Drosophila melanogaster: one gene and its partners. The protein of the gene in region 2 interacts with the protein of the main gene of each other region in a pairwise test. Each region holds a gene or a part of one and is shown on either strand. Other genes may lie near its edges.

The links.
Region 1: the proteins of E5 (region 2) and PolZ1 interact in a two-hybrid assay, tested with the Drosophila melanogaster proteins (one large-scale study listed by BioGRID).
Region 3: the proteins of E5 (region 2) and CG6337 interact in a two-hybrid assay, tested with the Drosophila melanogaster proteins (one large-scale study listed by BioGRID).

The regions. Positions count from the first base shown.
Region 1 is NT_033778.4:7,791,802-7,800,012, reverse strand, and holds the start of PolZ1 (DNA polymerase zeta subunit 1), read right to left. Parts: upstream 6,389-8,211; 5' UTR 6,318-6,388; coding exon 6,186-6,317; intron 6,128-6,185; coding exon 5,898-6,127; intron 5,841-5,897; coding exon 5,596-5,840; intron 5,539-5,595; coding exon 5,291-5,538; intron 5,233-5,290; coding exon 4,788-5,232; intron 4,719-4,787; coding exon 4,602-4,718; intron 4,540-4,601; coding exon 4,135-4,539; intron 4,078-4,134; coding exon 3,993-4,077; intron 3,928-3,992; coding exon 3,841-3,927; intron 3,783-3,840; coding exon 1,095-3,782; intron 1,030-1,094; coding exon 1-1,029. Other genes in the region: Gapdh1 (glyceraldehyde 3 phosphate dehydrogenase 1), read left to right, coding at 6,893-7,891. UniProt on the Drosophila melanogaster protein: As the catalytic subunit of the DNA polymerase zeta complex, plays a crucial role in translesion DNA synthesis (TLS) and various DNA repair mechanisms. Lacks an intrinsic 3'-5' exonuclease activity and thus has no proofreading function.
Region 2 is NT_033777.3:13,871,608-13,876,915, reverse strand, and holds the start of E5 (E5), read left to right. Parts: upstream 1-1,999; 5' UTR 2,000-2,319; intron 2,320-2,662; 5' UTR 2,663-2,736; coding exon 2,737-3,616; intron 3,617-5,308.
Region 3 is NT_033778.4:13,832,687-13,836,823, reverse strand, and holds CG6337 (uncharacterized protein), read left to right. Parts: upstream 1-1,727; 5' UTR 1,728-1,761; coding exon 1,762-1,857; intron 1,858-1,977; coding exon 1,978-2,904; 3' UTR 2,905-3,249; downstream 3,250-4,137.

The sequences.
Region 1 (8,211 bases), on a different chromosome or scaffold from region 2:
GCGAAAATCAGGTCCTGCAGATTGGCCCTGCCCGACAGCAGCTTGGTGAACTGCCGGCACACGTACGCCTTGATCTTGCTGACGTCTTGCGTCTCGAACAATATGCGCAGCACCTTTTCCAGCATCTTGGCCACCGCCGGACAACCATCTCGCCGCACAGTTTCTATTCCCTTCGCCTCGTAAACGGGCTGCTCCTGATCGGCTGTCTCATACATGTAACCCACGTAGCGCTTCTTGGTCTGCAGCATGCAAGGTTGGTAGACCTTCTCCAGTTTTAGCTTCACTGGCTGTGGATTCATTTCGGTGACCGCCTTGGCGATCTCCTCGCCGATTCGAAAAGCTTCAGCTCGATTTCGACCCGGCACAAGAACGAACATGGAGTCCGTGTCGCCATAGACGACACGCACCTTCCACTCCTCGTTGTTCTCCACTAGTTTGATAGCACGCTCCAGGGTCTCCCGTCCTTTGGAAACTACAGAATCGCCCACTTCCACTGAAGGCATTCGGCCACTGAAGTTAGCGGCGGTGTAGCCATAGGTAACATTGGCCATCAGCTTAAGGCCCAGCTGCCGTGAGTGAAGGATCCGCTGAAGTGCAGAGCTGTCCTTATGGAGCTTCATCGACTGTTTGACCATTTGGCGCGTGTCCAAGATCTCGGTGAGCATGCGCGGCAGGATGCCCTCGCGCACTTCACGCTTCACGAACACAACGCCGCATGGCGAAACAGTAACCAGATCGTGCTCCAGCAACTTCTGCAGCATCTGCCGCGAAACTCGGAGCTGCGACGCGCCAAATTCAAAGGGCGAACTTCCACCCAGGTGCTCTACTCTACCCAAGCACGTGGAGAAGCAGTAGTTGTAGGCGATGATCATGCTGGGGTACAAGCTCTGAAAATCAAGCACGATTAGGGGATCGGCATAGAATCGTGACTGCGGTTCCATTATTAGCGCCAAGTACTCGGGAGCTCTCATATGAGCGCGAGCCTGGACGCTGGGTGAAAGTGGCACCAGGTTCTTTGGCTTGGCGATTCTATGAAGACAGAGAGTTCAGGGAGGATGCAACATATTTTGCCTGCGCTCAAGGGTTACACTCACCTCAGCATCATGCTTTCCACGCGAAACTGTGAGCCGCGCGACAGCACCTCGTAGAACTGAATGCCAATGAGCTTGGCCATTTCGCTAGTCCGTCCCAGTAAGTCCAGCTGATCCAGGAGAGTTAAGGTGCCACGCACACGCTCCAAGTAATATTCCATTACTATCCAGCGGGTGCAGGGTGAGCCGAACCATTCGGTGAGGGATTTGGCAGTGTGCCAGGGACATCTCTTATGCAAAATGTGGTACATTACGTTTTCGAAGGTGTACGACGTCAGTGCAATCTCGGAGCGCATCAGGCGCCATACGTCCAGCAGAATGCGGCCGCAGAGCTTCATTTCCACATCCAAATCGGTGAACTGCTCCCGATCCTCGTCCACAAAGTCCCGGACCTTCTGTGTGGGCACTCGGGACAGCAGAGGAGCGATGTTGAAGCACAGATGCTTGGCCCGATCAATCACATAGCCCCAAGAGGACATCTCGATTTCGTACCCTGCGTATATGTCCGCATCCCACCGTTCACACAAAGCCAGCAACGCCTCAAATGCCTCCGCTTCACTGGTCACTACTTGCACCTCAATATCGCGATCTATACCATGAAAAGGTCCTTCACTTAGCAAATCCTGGACAGTGTTCACCATTATATAGCCGCAGGCTTTGCTAGGCAGCTTTTCATCCGGCAAACTGTGTTCGATAGCATAAAACAAACACCGAATCTCGTCGTGCATCGGATCTGGTTGGAGATCACCTCGCGTGGACACAAACACCTCTAACGTTATGATTGTCAGGTGGTTGCAATCAATGTCGGCTTTGGCCTGCTGCAGATTCTCCAAATTAACCTTGAACCCGAACGTGTTGTCCAAGGTAGCGTGGCTAAGTCCAAAGCTGAGGTCGTGCTGCCTATCCTGGCTACTGCCCTCTAACTGGCGCAGAAAGGAACTACGATCTAGCTCCGCCTGGGCCGCACTACTGGAGACGCTCTGTTCGCTGGACTGCGAGCTTGGTGGTTCCTCGTCCTGGCTTCCTATGAAGCTGAGCCTAGTTCCGCGCTTAAGGCGACTCTTTCCTGTTTCTCTGGCTTTGCTACTGGTAGGGGTTGCCTTGCATTTATCCTTAGCTTGGGACAAGGGCGTTAGACTTAGACTGCAATCGAGTTCCTCACCAGCATCTTCATCGCCACTTCCGCCATCGCCTTCCTCAGCCTGCAGCATCATAGTGATCTTCTGCCGCTTGATCTTGATGGGGCTGTCTATGTCATCAGAGGACTTTTTTGGTTCCTCTCGTTGACGAAGGAGTTCCTTGGCTTTCAACCAGATCTTGGCTTCCTGCCAGGTGGGTGCTAGTTGTGCTGGCTCGATTGCTATTCTTTGTTGCGTGCTGAAATACTCCCGTACTTTTTGTTCTCCCCGATGTCGCTGCAACATTGCCAGGCCACCAATGGCTATCAGTTGCCGACGACGCCAGGAGGCCAGGCCACGATCATTGCCCAGTATGCTCTGGAAGGGATCACAGTCATTTAGCTTGTTCCCCGGAATGTGGAGCACCAGGAAGCCCACCTCCGTCACCTTGCTCACATCGGAGGGATTGCTGTAGTATGGCTTTTGGAACTCGTACTCGGGTATGTCCATTTTACGGCTACCGCTAACCACTTCATCGTAGGATGGAGGCAGCTCCAAGGGGGCAATCACGAACGAGTTGCTATCGGGAGATGGAGGAGCAGACCTAGGAGAATCCATATGTATCTCGGGGCTATCCAAGAAGTCACTGAAGACCGACGGACTGTTCACAATCAGCGAATGCTCATAGAAACTTCGCATCAGCTCCGGTGTGTTGCTCTCATTGCTTTTGGGACTTAGCTGAGGAGTGGTCTCAGTCTCAGGGGGTCTTATGCCTGAACTGGGAGTAAATTGTTTGTTCAGCAACTCCGACCGAATGCTCCATCGAAGGCGTTTCAAGTTGGGTGTTTTACGAAGTTTGGTGACTATATAATCGCTTTCCGTGTCGGATTCGATAGCCTCATCATGGCATGGACTAAATGTGATCTCCTCCGTGGAGTTTGCTGAATCTCCAGGCGAAATACCAGCTGGTTCCTGTGGAATTAGCTCACGTTGTAACTTTTCGTCACAGCTTCGTGCAGTTTCATCAGACTTTTTTGGTTTACTTTCGAGATATTCGATTTGTTCAGAAACAGAGTTTTCCTGCTGATGCGGACTCTCTGAGTTAGATGAACTATCTTTTGTTGCTTTTTCCAATGCAACAGTTCCATTCATGCTTGTTTTAGTATTTTCTTTGGGACTTTGGGATAGTCTGGCTTTCTTTTGAGGTCTATCCAAACTTGTAGTCGTCACTCGTGGCCCAGTTGTTTGTATTTCGCTGGAACACTCATCTGGATTTGCCGAATTAACCTTATGGCGAGCACTGCGACGCGGCTTCAGCTCATCCAAGGCACTTCCTTCTGACCTGTGGGGTCTCTCTATCTCACAACCGGCCTTGGGTAGACTTTCTATATCTTGATTCCGAGTGCTCCATCGCGTCTTTCTTACTACTTTCTTTGGTGGTAATTGCTTGCCGTCCTCTGTTTCGAACATGTCGCTCAAGCCAGGATTTCTGTCCCTCGGCGTAAGGGAACAAATAATGTGTGTTTTGTCCAGATTGCTAGTTGATCGTCTGGTACTCCTAACTGGAGTACAACTATCGGGAAAACAATAATATAAATCGCCTTGCCATAAAGGATATCAGTTAACCATACTCGTTCTTTAAGAGCACAAAACTGTCCTCGAAACTTTTCCGTCGCATCTCCGACATGGCTAGTTTTTTGCGCAATGAGATTTCTGGCCTACGAACAAAAATGTTGGTCATAGAAATGTTGGTACATATGATGAAAACAAAGAATTTGATTACCGAAGTGTTCCCGTTCCGGTTCCTTGGTCTAGCTGCAAACTGAGGCGTGGATTAGATGGTCTCCCTGCGAATTCATCGTTGCTTTCTGCAATTGGTTATGATTGCAAAAAAAATTCGTGTGATCGTTATCAATTCTACCCACTCTTTGATGAACTGCTTCCAATTGTCAAAGCCAGCGGCGCATATTTCTTGGCTGCACTGGTTTTCGGAGTACGTGGCGATTTGGGAAGACTTTTCTGACCTATTGGCGTTGTTGGAGTCTTTGAAGGACTTGACTTTGACTTAGAGCTGATCGATTTAATGGGGGTCCTTTGTAGGCGATCATCAGCACCATCAATTTGGGGCAGTTTACTAGATGCTTTCAGTTCCTTCGATTCCGCAGGCTGACTTTGTGTTAACTTAAGCAACAACTCATCGACATCGTCTAGGACGGTAGAGAAGTCATGTCGGGTTTCTTGGTCGGCATCCTCGTCGGAGTCAACATCTTCGTCGAAAAGAGCAGCAGTAGCTGCGGTCTCCTTGTCCAACAATTCGGGTGTAAGTTCGACTACAAAAAGAGATCAGTGTAAAACATTTATTAAAAAACAACTCCATTTCACAACAACTCACACTTTTTATGTTGCGACAATGGAGCCAACGAACTGTCTAAGTCCACATGCGATTCACTTTCATTCTGCTCCTCCAACAGCTGCAACGCGTCCAAAAGTTCCAAATCCTCCTCCCTCACTGAAGCAAGGAGAAAACAACTGGTTTATACCAAAGTGCGAGTTGTAATTTTGGCAACCGTGTACTCACAGGTGGCATCATGGGGTATCGCTCCATGAGGCTGTGTGAGGCTCAGTATTAGTTCCTCATCCACTACAGTTTCGTCCAAGTCATCGGACTCATCCTTGGAGGTTGACAAACTGACACTGCTGCTGTAGCCGCAGGTAACATGGTTTTGTATGAAGGAAGCATTAACCAGCAGTTGCTGCTGATCCTGTGAGCATTCCTCCGGATAAACGGCGTTGGCTAGAAGTTTTTGCAAGTTAAACCTGCGTTTCTGTGCCTTTGTGCCGGGCATGGTGGTCTGCATGGTTGCTTGGGGAAGGATTGTCTGATCCGACAACGTTTGCTCGGACAGTGTGGACTGCTCCAGTGTCATCAGCTTGCTCTCCAGAGCGGTGCGGTAGAAGATATCGCTTTCGGCGATTTCAATTTGATGCCGCTCCTGTGTTGGCGGTAACTCCAATACTGGCACCTACGATGGATGGACAAGGCTGTAGGATTTATCAATACAAGATGTATTCCCGGATTACCGCTTCAGCCTTCTCCTCATCGCCAGCATCGGTGTGCTTCTCGACAAGTTTCTGTCGGCGCAATTTCTCATCATTCCAGATGGCCTCGATGCCGGGGTTAGTGTGGTTGCTCTTACTCTTCGCCACCAGCTGGAACCGATTCAGTATGAAGTTCGAGCTGACATCCACCTCTAAAGCACTGCAGGCCACTTTCTTAGCGGTTGTGATGTCCAGAAGCTGCGCTTGCTTGACATTTGCATAGGGGATTACTAAAGGGTTAGTTACGGGTTAGTTAGGAACTTAAATAGATGATGTATCCAGCTTGCCGTCATCGTCATGGTTGCGCCGGAACTTGAGAACCTCCAGCGGGACATGCACATAGCTCATACCGTACAGATTGTAGTCGATCATAAACTGCAGAATGTAGGGCACATGCGACTCGTGCGGACTGAAGTTCTTGCTCAGAATGGCGCCGCTTTGGAGAAGGTTGGCGGCGCGGCGTACGAACCGGGGATTGAACATGTAGATCTTGAGGAACTGGTGTTCCACTCGATGGTAGCCATAGAAGGGTCTGTAAAGAGAGGTCGGTTAGAGATTTACGCCAAGAAGTCGTCCAGAAAGAACTCACATGCCCTTGACCAGCTGAATTTTGAACACATGCTGGGCGTTGGAGCTGCCTTGACCCAAGGATATGTTGATGGCCTTGTCCAGGTGCATGGCCATCTGCAGGATGCCCCGCTCCAGGGACTCAAAATCCTTCTTGTCATACGGAATGTATAGATAGGGGAAAACTCCGTGTACATGCATGCAGGTCTTCTGGCCTCTGGAGTTGCCGCCAAACACTCGAATCACTGGCACCTGGAAGTGGAATGGATCGTTATACCAGTTTTTACTGTGGTGAAATAGACCGGCTCACCCGCTTGATTTCTTTGCCGCGCAGCTCCGAATAGCACGGATCCATTCCGAACTGCGGCTTCTCCATATAGAAATCCGCGATGACCAGCCGGACGGAGTAGACTCCATCGATTGCCTCTCCTGCGGCTGCCATTTTCGCCAAAACTCAGATTCGTTTTCGCAGAGCTATTTGTTGTCAATTCAATTCAAACTAGAGTGACCATGTATCGAAAAGTATCGATCTATCGATTGTTGCTTTTTGAATTCAAACTAAGGGCAAAAACGTAAAATAAATATTTTTAAATTGAAAGAAGAGCTCTAGAACTTAAAGAACTAACTTGGCAACAATGTTAAGAAAAACTTTAGTGCAAGATGAAGGAATTTTATACTTGACAATGCTAATTTTTGTATAAACTTAATTACGTAAAGGGTCCTACAACCCATATATATCATTAGTTGTTAGAGGCTCTTTTTAAGGCGCTTATATAATCAAACCCTTTGTAAAAATTAAAGTTTTAAATGGAATTCTAATCGATTTATTTCACATTAGCTTTATTTAAGTGTGACCTACGCAGAAAGCTAGCGAAATACTCATCAACCCTCCCCCGCCATCGCAGCGCCATTCTCCTAATTTGCGAAAAAAGCTCCGGGAAAAGGAAAAAGCGGCAGTCGTAATAGCGAACTGAAACTGAACGAGAGTAAAAGTGAAAAGACAGCAGGAACTCAGCCATGTCGAAGATCGGAATTAACGGATTTGGCCGCATCGGCCGCTTGGTGCTCCGCGCCGCCATCGATAAGGGCGCCTCCGTGGTGGCCGTCAACGATCCCTTCATCGATGTCAACTACATGGTTTACCTGTTTAAATTCGACTCGACTCACGGTCGTTTCAAGGGCACCGTTGCGGCTGAGGGCGGATTCCTGGTGGTGAACGGCCAGAAGATCACCGTGTTCAGCGAGCGCGACCCGGCCAACATCAACTGGGCCAGTGCTGGAGCCGAGTATGTGGTGGAGTCCACCGGAGTGTTCACCACCATTGACAAGGCGTCCACCCACTTGAAGGGCGGCGCCAAGAAGGTCATCATCTCGGCCCCATCCGCCGATGCGCCCATGTTCGTGTGCGGCGTTAACCTGGACGCCTACAGCCCCGACATGAAGGTGGTCTCCAACGCCTCGTGCACCACCAACTGCCTGGCTCCCCTGGCCAAGGTCATCAATGACAACTTCGAGATCGTCGAGGGTCTGATGACCACCGTGCACGCCACCACTGCCACCCAGAAGACCGTCGACGGTCCCTCTGGCAAACTGTGGCGCGATGGACGTGGCGCCGCCCAGAACATCATCCCGGCCGCCACCGGAGCCGCCAAGGCTGTGGGCAAGGTCATCCCCGCCCTGAACGGCAAGCTGACCGGCATGGCTTTCCGCGTGCCCACGCCCAATGTCTCCGTTGTGGATCTTACCGTCCGCTTGGGCAAGGGAGCCACCTATGACGAAATCAAGGCTAAGGTCGAGGAGGCCTCCAAGGGACCCCTGAAGGGAATCCTGGGCTACACCGATGAGGAGGTGGTCTCCACCGACTTCTTCAGCGACACCCATTCGTCTGTGTTCGACGCCAAGGCTGGCATTTCGCTGAACGATAAGTTCGTCAAGCTAATCTCGTGGTACGACAACGAGTTCGGTTACTCCAACCGCGTCATCGACCTGATCAAGTATATGCAGAGCAAGGACTAAACTAGCCAAAACTATCGTACAAACCCGGCGCCCAGCAGCTGGTCGGGAATCACTGTTGCATAATCCGCAAGGGGCGCAATTGAGGATGCTTTTTTTTCAAATGCACAAAATAGCCATAATTACGCAAAGCTACATATTTATTGTTGTTGAATAAAGTATCGCCCTGTTACTGTATTTAAATGCCAGCTATTTGAAAAATAAAACTTGTGCATCGAATGAAGAACGTTGCTTGTGTAAGCCCAAGGGCGTGTGAAGGTTATATCGGGCGGACTTGCTGAGATATGCAGTGAATACACAAATAAGTATCTGTGCTTCGCCTG
Region 2 (5,308 bases):
AGATGTGTAACATATAAATTGATTAATTTTAAAATCCATTTTCATTTAACAGATATGCTTATCGTATTTGTTCGAACTAAAACCTGAGTTACACAAGAATTAAACAAATGTATCTCAAATATATAATTTTACATCTACCGAGAAAAAGGCCCTAGAACTTGCATCGCGTTTCGCGAACTGATAATGCAGGCATTTGCTGCATTTTATCTTTTTGTGGGCCCTCCTTCTGGTCATATATCAAGTGCGGTAAATGCCAAAAAATACGCCCACAAAATCATTGATTGCCGATCGATAACCTTTTGCGGTGATGGAGCATCCCATAAAGTTCTCGTCCCAGCTCATTGTCTGACTAATTAAATGATTTATCCCGAATCGTGAGGCAGAGGAGCTGGAAAGGAGATGGGAAAGAGTAAAAACCAATTACAATTACCGCACCCAGAGGTGCCACACTCACAGATATAGATATATGTATACGTGTATACATGAGTGCATCTGCGGCAGCAAAGCTGCTGCCCCACCGACAAGCAACGGCCTTATCTAGATGCATACAAATCCAGCCAAGCGCACGTCAATTTATTTGCCAACTCTCGCCTCCTTTCTGGCCAACATCCATATCCATTCATGGCCAAAAGGAGGAGAATCGCATGTATTTACCTATGAGAAGGCTGCGAAGTTGGCGCTGCATGTTTTATGCCTCCTCCTGCATCTTTAACGAGGTGTTTATTTTCACAACTCACAGCCAGCGGATGAGGATGCGGATAGGGATGGGGATGGGAATGGGGATGGGGATGGGTATACAGATACTCGGATGACCACGCACAGATACAGATGCAGATACGTTCCCTTCCCAGCACGCTGTATCTGTATCTGTGAGATTCGCGCAGTTGCAGCTCGCCGAAGGTGTAGAAACCAAGTTACCGCCCATTTTCGTGTCCAAATGCTTTTGGCCAACATGATGCAGATGCCAATTCAGAATGGTAGAATGGCCAAGCGGCGGGGGGAGGGAAAGTGGTTTATAGCCAGCACTGACGACGGGGCGTCTAAGCTATATAAGCGATGACGTTGATTCCACTGCACAGTGGTATCGGCTCGATATCCTTTGAAAAATGCGTATTTTCTACTTTTGAGTTATGTACAAATTTGAACACTTTTTAATATCGATTTTCCAGTAGATAGTAAATAATTTAATACATGAAAACAATTTAAAAACGGTTACTGATGAAAGATAAACGTTTAAGCCTTAAATATTTCAATGAATAAATACAATTCAATTAAATAAAGTTTCAATTTTTTTTTATTGTTAGTATTTGCATAATTAAAAGAGGGCACAGTTCGCTTTTCAATTTTAAATGTTATATTTATTATATTTATTTTTAATCATCGAAGACCTACTTCCTATCCACTGTTCGGGTGCACCACCCCCGTTCCCCCTCCTACGCTCCAACAAACTGGCCAACCCGCTTGGCACTAAAACCACAAACGCTTTAATGATGCTGTTTTGTTTAGCGCAAATTGTTTGTTTCGCTGTCATAAACTGGTGCGAAAAATGGCCAAGAGAGCGACAGAGAGAGAGAGAAAAAGAGAGAGATTGGGGCCCCTCACACACCCACACACCAACAAGCCCAGAGAGCGGGAGAGCGAGCGAGAGAGGAGGTGGCTCCACTTGGAGCCAAGCAGGTTTTCGGAATATCCACTGAACTATTGTTGCGCTGCTTTGGCGCACGCGCACCGAGCCACGTGTGCGAGCGAGACGCCAGCAGTATTGCTGCGCTGGAAGTACAAGCAAAGGAAGAAGAAGCACACTCGAACTGGCCCCACAAACTTTTTGCGGCTTTTTCCAACGCGACACTCGAGCTAAAACGCTCAGCGTGAGAGCCACGCAGCGATTCGCCGACGCCCCCGCCAAAAATCAGGACAGAAAGAGAGAAAGCGAGAGAGAGACAGAGGTTGCGAGCGGCGAAGTGGAGCCAACAATTAGACGCCTTTAGACGCTCCATAATGCTAATGGCGTTGACAGTGCTCATCATCATCGCAGCGCGGCCACCGCAATCGTTTCGTTACCGGGTAGCCGGCATAACCGTTAACCGTTAACTGATACCGCCACCGCCACCGTCAATCGCCAATAGTCAATCGCCAACCATCAATCGCCGCCGTCAATCGTCCAGCGAAGCGGTACGGTCACGCTCCAATCGCCGCGTTGCCGCCGCTCCAGTTACAGTTACAGTTTATCAATGTCACGCCGACGGATGCCAACCGCTGGAGCATCGCAGATACAACGCTACGTAGCTATATAGCTATAGCTATCTGATCGGAAAAACAGTGCGTGTGTGCTTATCTGATATCTAGTAACCATTAACCGATGTACGCGATCATGTTTCCATAGCACCAACCCATTTATTGGGAGCTTCGATCAGTACAACCCTTTTTCCGTTTCCGTTTCTATTCAGTTCAATTCCATTTCAATTTCCATTCCCTTTGATTTTAGTAGGATTTTTACCGTTTTATTTTATTCCTAAAACTTTTAGTTGAGCATTATTCTTTTATTTACTGATTTATCCCGTTCGAAAATACAAAATTTTTTTTTTCAAAAAAGTCAAATATGGAATGGAAAAAATGGAATTTAAGGCCTACAAGTGTTCTTATAATCTACTTCGACTTGCAGAGACTTCGAATCGGGAAGTTTAAGAGGAGGGAAAGTGATTCATTTGTTTTTCCAATCAACGAAACCCCTACCAAATGGTCACCTGCGGCCGGCAAACGTTCAACATGCTGCCCATGGCGCCGACGAGTCCTTTTGTGAGCAGCAGCTCCTCGGTGGCCGCATCCTCGACTTCCGTTTCCGCCAGCAGTACCGTTTCCGCCTCCGCGAGCAGCAAGCCCAAGCTGGCCTTCAGCATCGACTCGATTGTGGGCGAATCCTCGACGAGATCGGCTCCACTAAGGGTCAGTGTGATATCTTCGCCGCCGCCGCGCAGCGAAAGTCCCGCTTCGCCAACGAACACGAACAACAGTGGGCGCCGGACGCCCAGGGGCTATATCTACTGCCGCAGAAGGGATTCGCTGGATCGATCGCGCAGTCCTCAGAGATCACCGGTTAGCCGGTCGCCATCGCCCCCCAATGCAGGAGGCAATCCGGCAGCGGCCGGGAATACTGCAAAGTCCGGGGATCCATCGTCGGGAACGGGAAATCCTCCAACCCTCATCCGTCCGTTGCCTCTGCCGGCGCCAAATCTAGCTTTAATTGGGAACCGCACCTCACCGAACGCCATGGCGGTGCGCATGGCGGGTCCGCCCCACCCGCCGTCGCAGCCACCGCCGTTCCTTGCCGCCCAGTTCCAAATGGCTGCTGCACTGGCTCATCATCACCAGCAGCAACAGCAGCAGCAACAACAGCAACTTCCGCCCGTGCCAACTGGACCGCCACATGGTCCACATCCGCATCTGCCGCCCGGCCAAATTCCACTTGGAATCTTTCCCGGCGGACCGCATCCCGGGCATCCTCCGCCCCACGGACACCATCCGTTCGGGAGTGCGCCGCATCTGATCCGGGATAGCTATCCGTTGTATCCATGGTTGCTCAGCCGACACGGACGCATTTTTCCACGATTCCCAGGCAGTAAGTAATCACACTGTTTTAAATATATCTATTGTTTATTACAATATTTTCAATAAGTTCAGAGTTCAGAGAAGCTAACCGGTTTAGCAAGCGGTACTTTCATATGTATATAAAACCGCTAAAAATTATTTCTATAAATTGAAAAATATAATTTTTATGCATAATCATCTAAGCTAACAATTATTTGTAATAAATTTACTGCAAAATTAATAACAGTTTATATAACAATAATACATATCATTTAATTTAATATTTACCCTATTCTGATAATAAGAGTACATCTCTCTTTTACGGATTATTAGAAAGATAGTTGTTACATATATATTTTTCATATTTGAACATTAGAATATTATGATAGTTTACGGTCGGTTTCTTCTTCTGGAGATAGCAACCACCCCTTTTGTTGGTTATTTTTCGCTATAACGAGTTTTCCGCATTCATTATAGCCGTTTCAAATGGCCGCTGAGTGTTGCGAGCGACAGAGAAAAAGAAACCACACCTTAAGTCATATTCGAAGCCCAGCACCATTATAGTAGAGAGGACCCCAATCAAGCAATTATTCAGTTATCGCTGTTGTTGCCGCGCAGCTCCATATAATTAAAGTTAAATAAGCAAATGGCAAACATTTATTACAAGTTAATTAGACGTGTATCGGGCTCATCATCATCAGAGGGAGCGGGACGGAGAATGGGAGCGAACAGGAAGGGGGGAATGTGGAGGGAACCGAACCCATTTTGATAACTATTTCCAAACAAATTACATTTTAATTAAATTGTTTAAACAACATTACACACATCGTTAGGTCAAGCAGCGTACCTAAATGGCCAGCCAAGTGTGTGAGTGTGTGTTTAGCATTTATTTGCTCTATTTATACTTTTTCTCTTCACTCGAAATTACCATTAATGGCCAACAGACGGCGCCAGTTACTCATGCGGCGGGCCCATGCGGCGTATGTGTAACGTACGAAAAGTGCAACCATTGAAATGTTAATGCGTTTTTAATTGAGGTTTTGGGGCAACCAAGCAAAGAACCGAGAGGAATGGTAAAAAAAAAAAACTGGCAGATAGAAGCGAAGAGCCACCGCAAAGCGCATCTCAAAAACATTGTCATTTATTACGGTTTAACCACTTTTTTCTACCATTCCGCTGCTCTCATGATTACCATTTGAATTTCCAGGCCATGTTGGTATCCATGTTTTTTTTCGGCCGGTTAAATATAATAATAATTTTCGGCACACTCACACGCCTTTCACCTGCTTAAGTGTACATGTATCCCCGTTACGCCTTAATTATGTTGTACTCCGTTTCATTATTTTCTCCCTTTCTACTTGTTTTCCCATTTCCCGCCGCTCCTTCTCTTTTTTCTCACTTTTCTCCGCGCCGCCTGTAATTTTCGCTTGATTTATGAACGTGAAATGTCAATGTTTCGCATAACGATTTCATTAATTGTAAATGTTTTTCATCTCCGTTTGTTTTGTAACTCGTGTGAGTAATACCAGGTTACATGGGTTTGTTTTTCTTCCATTTTTTCCCGATCTGGAGTAAGATAATGGGGATCATCGCGATAGCGACGGTGATGATACGTCAGTAACTCAATTCAGCTTGCACGTGCTGCAATTTCTGGGTGTTGCCCTCTAATGCAGCCGTTGAAGTTCTGGGAAAACGGGTTAAATTAACAAGGCTGAGATCCTTA
Region 3 (4,137 bases), on a different chromosome or scaffold from region 2:
GATTTCGCGGCTTCGTCTCTCCTTTTATTTCCTCAGCTCCCAAATTGGCTCCATCGAGGGCCCAAATAAATCAAAATCAAATCTAGATTAGGCAACCGCAGGCTAAGATTTCACTTTCGTTGCCATAAAATACTGATCACATGCTGTGCCCGGTGAAAGGCGATGGATTCCCCTGTTTAAAATCAAATTTCGAGTCGAATGTAAGCAATTGCAGTTCTCTTGTCTTCGACGGACCATTATGAATCGAAAAATAACAACACACACGACACAATATGTTGAAAAGATCGACTTAATCACCTTTTATGGATATCTGGGAATGATATGTTCAAAACACCTTCCGCGTTCACAAATCACAAAACTATTCGAAGATGCTGAAGACTCGAAGACCGGCGAGATTATAAGCGGCGCTCGACCCGCACACCTTGGTTTTATAGAGTCTGGAGCTGGACCGTGGGACATATGGCCAAAACTGGATGGGCCACCAATTTGAAACTTTTGGAATACCGACAAGAGCATATTCATCTTCATTTCGACGGGCTATCTGGTTTATGGGTCTATAGCTGTCTCCATTATATGCATGCTTAGTAATTGTCGATTGCCTAATGTGTTGGTGGCTATAACAACGCATATTAACTCATTTGAAACAAAAGAGAAAATAGTCAAACATGTTTTTAAATAGTTAATAATTGATGAGATCGAAGTCACAGTTGTAGCGCCTATAGGATTACAAATTTCAATGCAGCAAGCAAAGTTTTAGGAAAGTTTTTAAAGCGTCTCTAAGTAGTTTGTACTATTATATCCCTTGTAAATAAATAACACTTTGATTTTTATGTAAATAATACAATTACAGAATGATAAAGATGCAGACGGATGAATAATGGTCTCGACTTTCAATAACTATAAATTGAAATTGAACCATGAAGAGATTGATTAGTGGCCAATTTATTTGCATTTCAATTAACAGATTCGTGGAATCTGAATTTGTTGTTGCGTCTACTAAAAAGTTCATTGACTGCTGAAATCCCTTATGGACTTACCTACATATTTGCAAAATTTCAAGATGATCCCTCATTACTACTTCGAATATATACTACCTGTAGTATATGCTAGACTACCGCAATGGAAATTACCAAACAACTCACTTAGCACTTGGTTTACAGCAATTTGGCCAAGTCTTCCAACGGGCCTATCTATCTATCTGTCTATGTATCTTTCCATCTACGTATCTATCTATCAACGCTGTTGCAACTTTTATGGGCGCCACAAAGTATGACTGTGATTAATCATGCCTGCGCTGAAGACAAAACCTGAAGACTAAACGATAAGTTGGCATTAGAGGGGCGTTTACGATGCTCCATGGGCATATGGGCTTGGGTGTTTTTTTCTGAACTGGGCCAGTGGGGATTTCGAATTAACAGAGATACGAGAACCCACCGCCGAATCGCAACGATACGAAACGGGGCATTTGACAAGTTTATTGGGCAAACAAAGCGCACCCCGACTTTTCCTACCAACGTCGGCTTATCGAGGAGACCCAACCCGGAATATGAATACTACGGATAGTACGTTTGAGTGCTGCTGGCCAAGTGCGAATTCAAGGCCTCGTAGAAATCTACGAGTATTTGCACTTTTCTTGCGAAAGTAAGTCGCTTTGGTAAACTTCTATTTGCGTTTGCAATCAGAAGGAGAGTTTGCCGGTGCCTATAAAAGATCGTTCCATGGTTCTGGCGGCATTAGTTGGTGCGGATTTGGGTTTTCGTCATGTTCAAGTTGCTACTTTGCTGCCTTCTACTAACCATCGACAGTGGATGGGCCTTTAATCATGGCCAGGATCTAGTGGACTTTCAAACTTACGAGGTATGTGAGTCATCAAGAAAACAAAGTCTGGATGGGATTTAATTAGAAATTATATCTTGTATCTTATGGCATTGAAAAGGATTGTATTGAGTAATGGAATTCAAATCTTTCCATTTACAGGACAATTTCAACAAGACCTATGCCTCAACTTCGGCTCGCAACTTCGCCAACTACTACTTCATCTACAACCGCAACCAGGTGGCGCAGCACAATGCCCAGGCCGATAGGAATCGCACCACCTACCGCGAGGCAGTGAATCAGTTCTCGGACATCCGGCTCATCCAGTTCGCAGCCCTGCTGCCCAAAGCCGTGAATACGGTGACCTCGGCGGCCAGTGATCCACCGGCCAGTCAAGCGGCATCTGCCAGCTTTGACATTATCACGGATTTCGGACTCACCGTGGCGGTGGAGGATCAGGGCGTGAACTGCAGCAGTAGTTGGGCCTATGCCACCGCCAAGGCCGTGGAGATCATGAATGCCGTGCAGACAGCCAATCCTCTGCCCTCGTCCTTGTCCGCCCAGCAGCTGCTGGACTGTGCGGGCATGGGCACCGGATGCAGCACCCAGACGCCCCTGGCTGCCCTCAACTATCTCACCCAGCTGACAGATGCGTATCTCTATCCGGAGGTGGACTATCCGAATAACAATAGCCTGAAAACGCCGGGTATGTGCCAGCCCCCATCCTCTGTGTCAGTGGGCGTGAAGTTGGCCGGCTATTCCACGGTGGCCGACAACGATGATGCCGCCGTAATGCGTTACGTATCGAATGGATTCCCCGTCATAGTCGAGTACAATCCGGCTACCTTTGGATTCATGCAGTACTCCAGTGGCGTCTATGTCCAGGAGACGCGTGCCCTGACCAATCCAAAGAGCTCACAGTTCCTGGTGGTCGTGGGCTACGATCACGACGTGGACTCCAATCTGGACTACTGGCGCTGCCTGAACTCCTTCGGCGACACGTGGGGCGAGGAGGGTTACATCAGGATCGTGCGCAGGTCCAATCAGCCCATTGCCAAGAATGCCGTCTTTCCCAGTGCGCTTGCCTAAGAAGGATTCCGATTTGACCTTATTTCAAGTTAATAAACTTAAGTTTTATGTGTAAATTTTTATATGATGATTTTGTTTCGGATTCAGTAGATGCTGTAAGTTCTTTAAAAAAACTTAATGCTAGTAAGCAATACTATTATTATTATTATAGACGCATTATCTTTAAATCAACTAGAATTCGAGTAACAGATTCGGGAATATCTATAATAACACTATGATGATACCTTAAGAGTGTGCCTATCTATATCTATGATAGTTCATAGAATAGAAGAATAGTAATAGAACCATCCAAGAAATAGATTTGGGAATATCTCAAATAAAGCTAAGATAATTCATCGAGATCTTGAATATTACATAAAGAGTAATCTTGAAAAAAAATCCCCCGTCTTCTACCAAAAAGTATCGTTTGGTTTTTTGTTGTGAAAGCTTACAGCTTTTTTGTCTCCATTTATTGAATTTACCATTTTATTTAGTTTATTTATTGATTTTTCATCTACAAGCGGAGCTTTACAGACTTAAATGCTAAAAATTAACAAGTTCACTTTATTTTCTTTTCTTTTCTTGTTTTTCGCATCTTTGATCTGCTTATGGATTTTATACTATTATCTTTGCAGTGTTTTCTTTTTCTGTTATGTTTCTCTTGCATAATAAATAAGTTTCCCATTTTGTTGCTATCCGTGTTGCTGTGATATAAAAACGAAAGGAAATTATATAGATATATATAATATTTAGGTATTATATTTATGGTTATAGAATATTCGACTCAGCCAGCGCAGACAAAAGCTTCTTTTTTTTGGTGTGTGTTCTTTCTGTAGATTTCTTAATCTTAGTTCTCGTAAATTTTTTAAGTTTCAGTAACTTGTTTGGAAACGTTGTTATTATAAATACTTCTCGTTATTATATTTCAATTGCGTTAAATAATTTGAAATATATGTATGTACGTTGTGTTTGCATTTTGTTTTGTTTTAGTTTAGGTTTTTAGTTTTTAGTTTTTATTTTTGGTTTAGAATGTCTTCCCGTCTTCTTGTGAAGCAAAGCTCAATGATATGATTCACGCTGAAAGGTGATTTAACGATTTTTATTATTTCAATAATTTTGCAGTTTATAAAGATTGCGTGATCTTGTGTTTTATTAGGTTTTTCTTTGTTTTTTGTTTTTTGTTCTGGATGTGCTTGAGTTGCAATATTTAGGGTACTTCCTTGGAAAATCGTTGCGGATGAAGAACAAAATCGA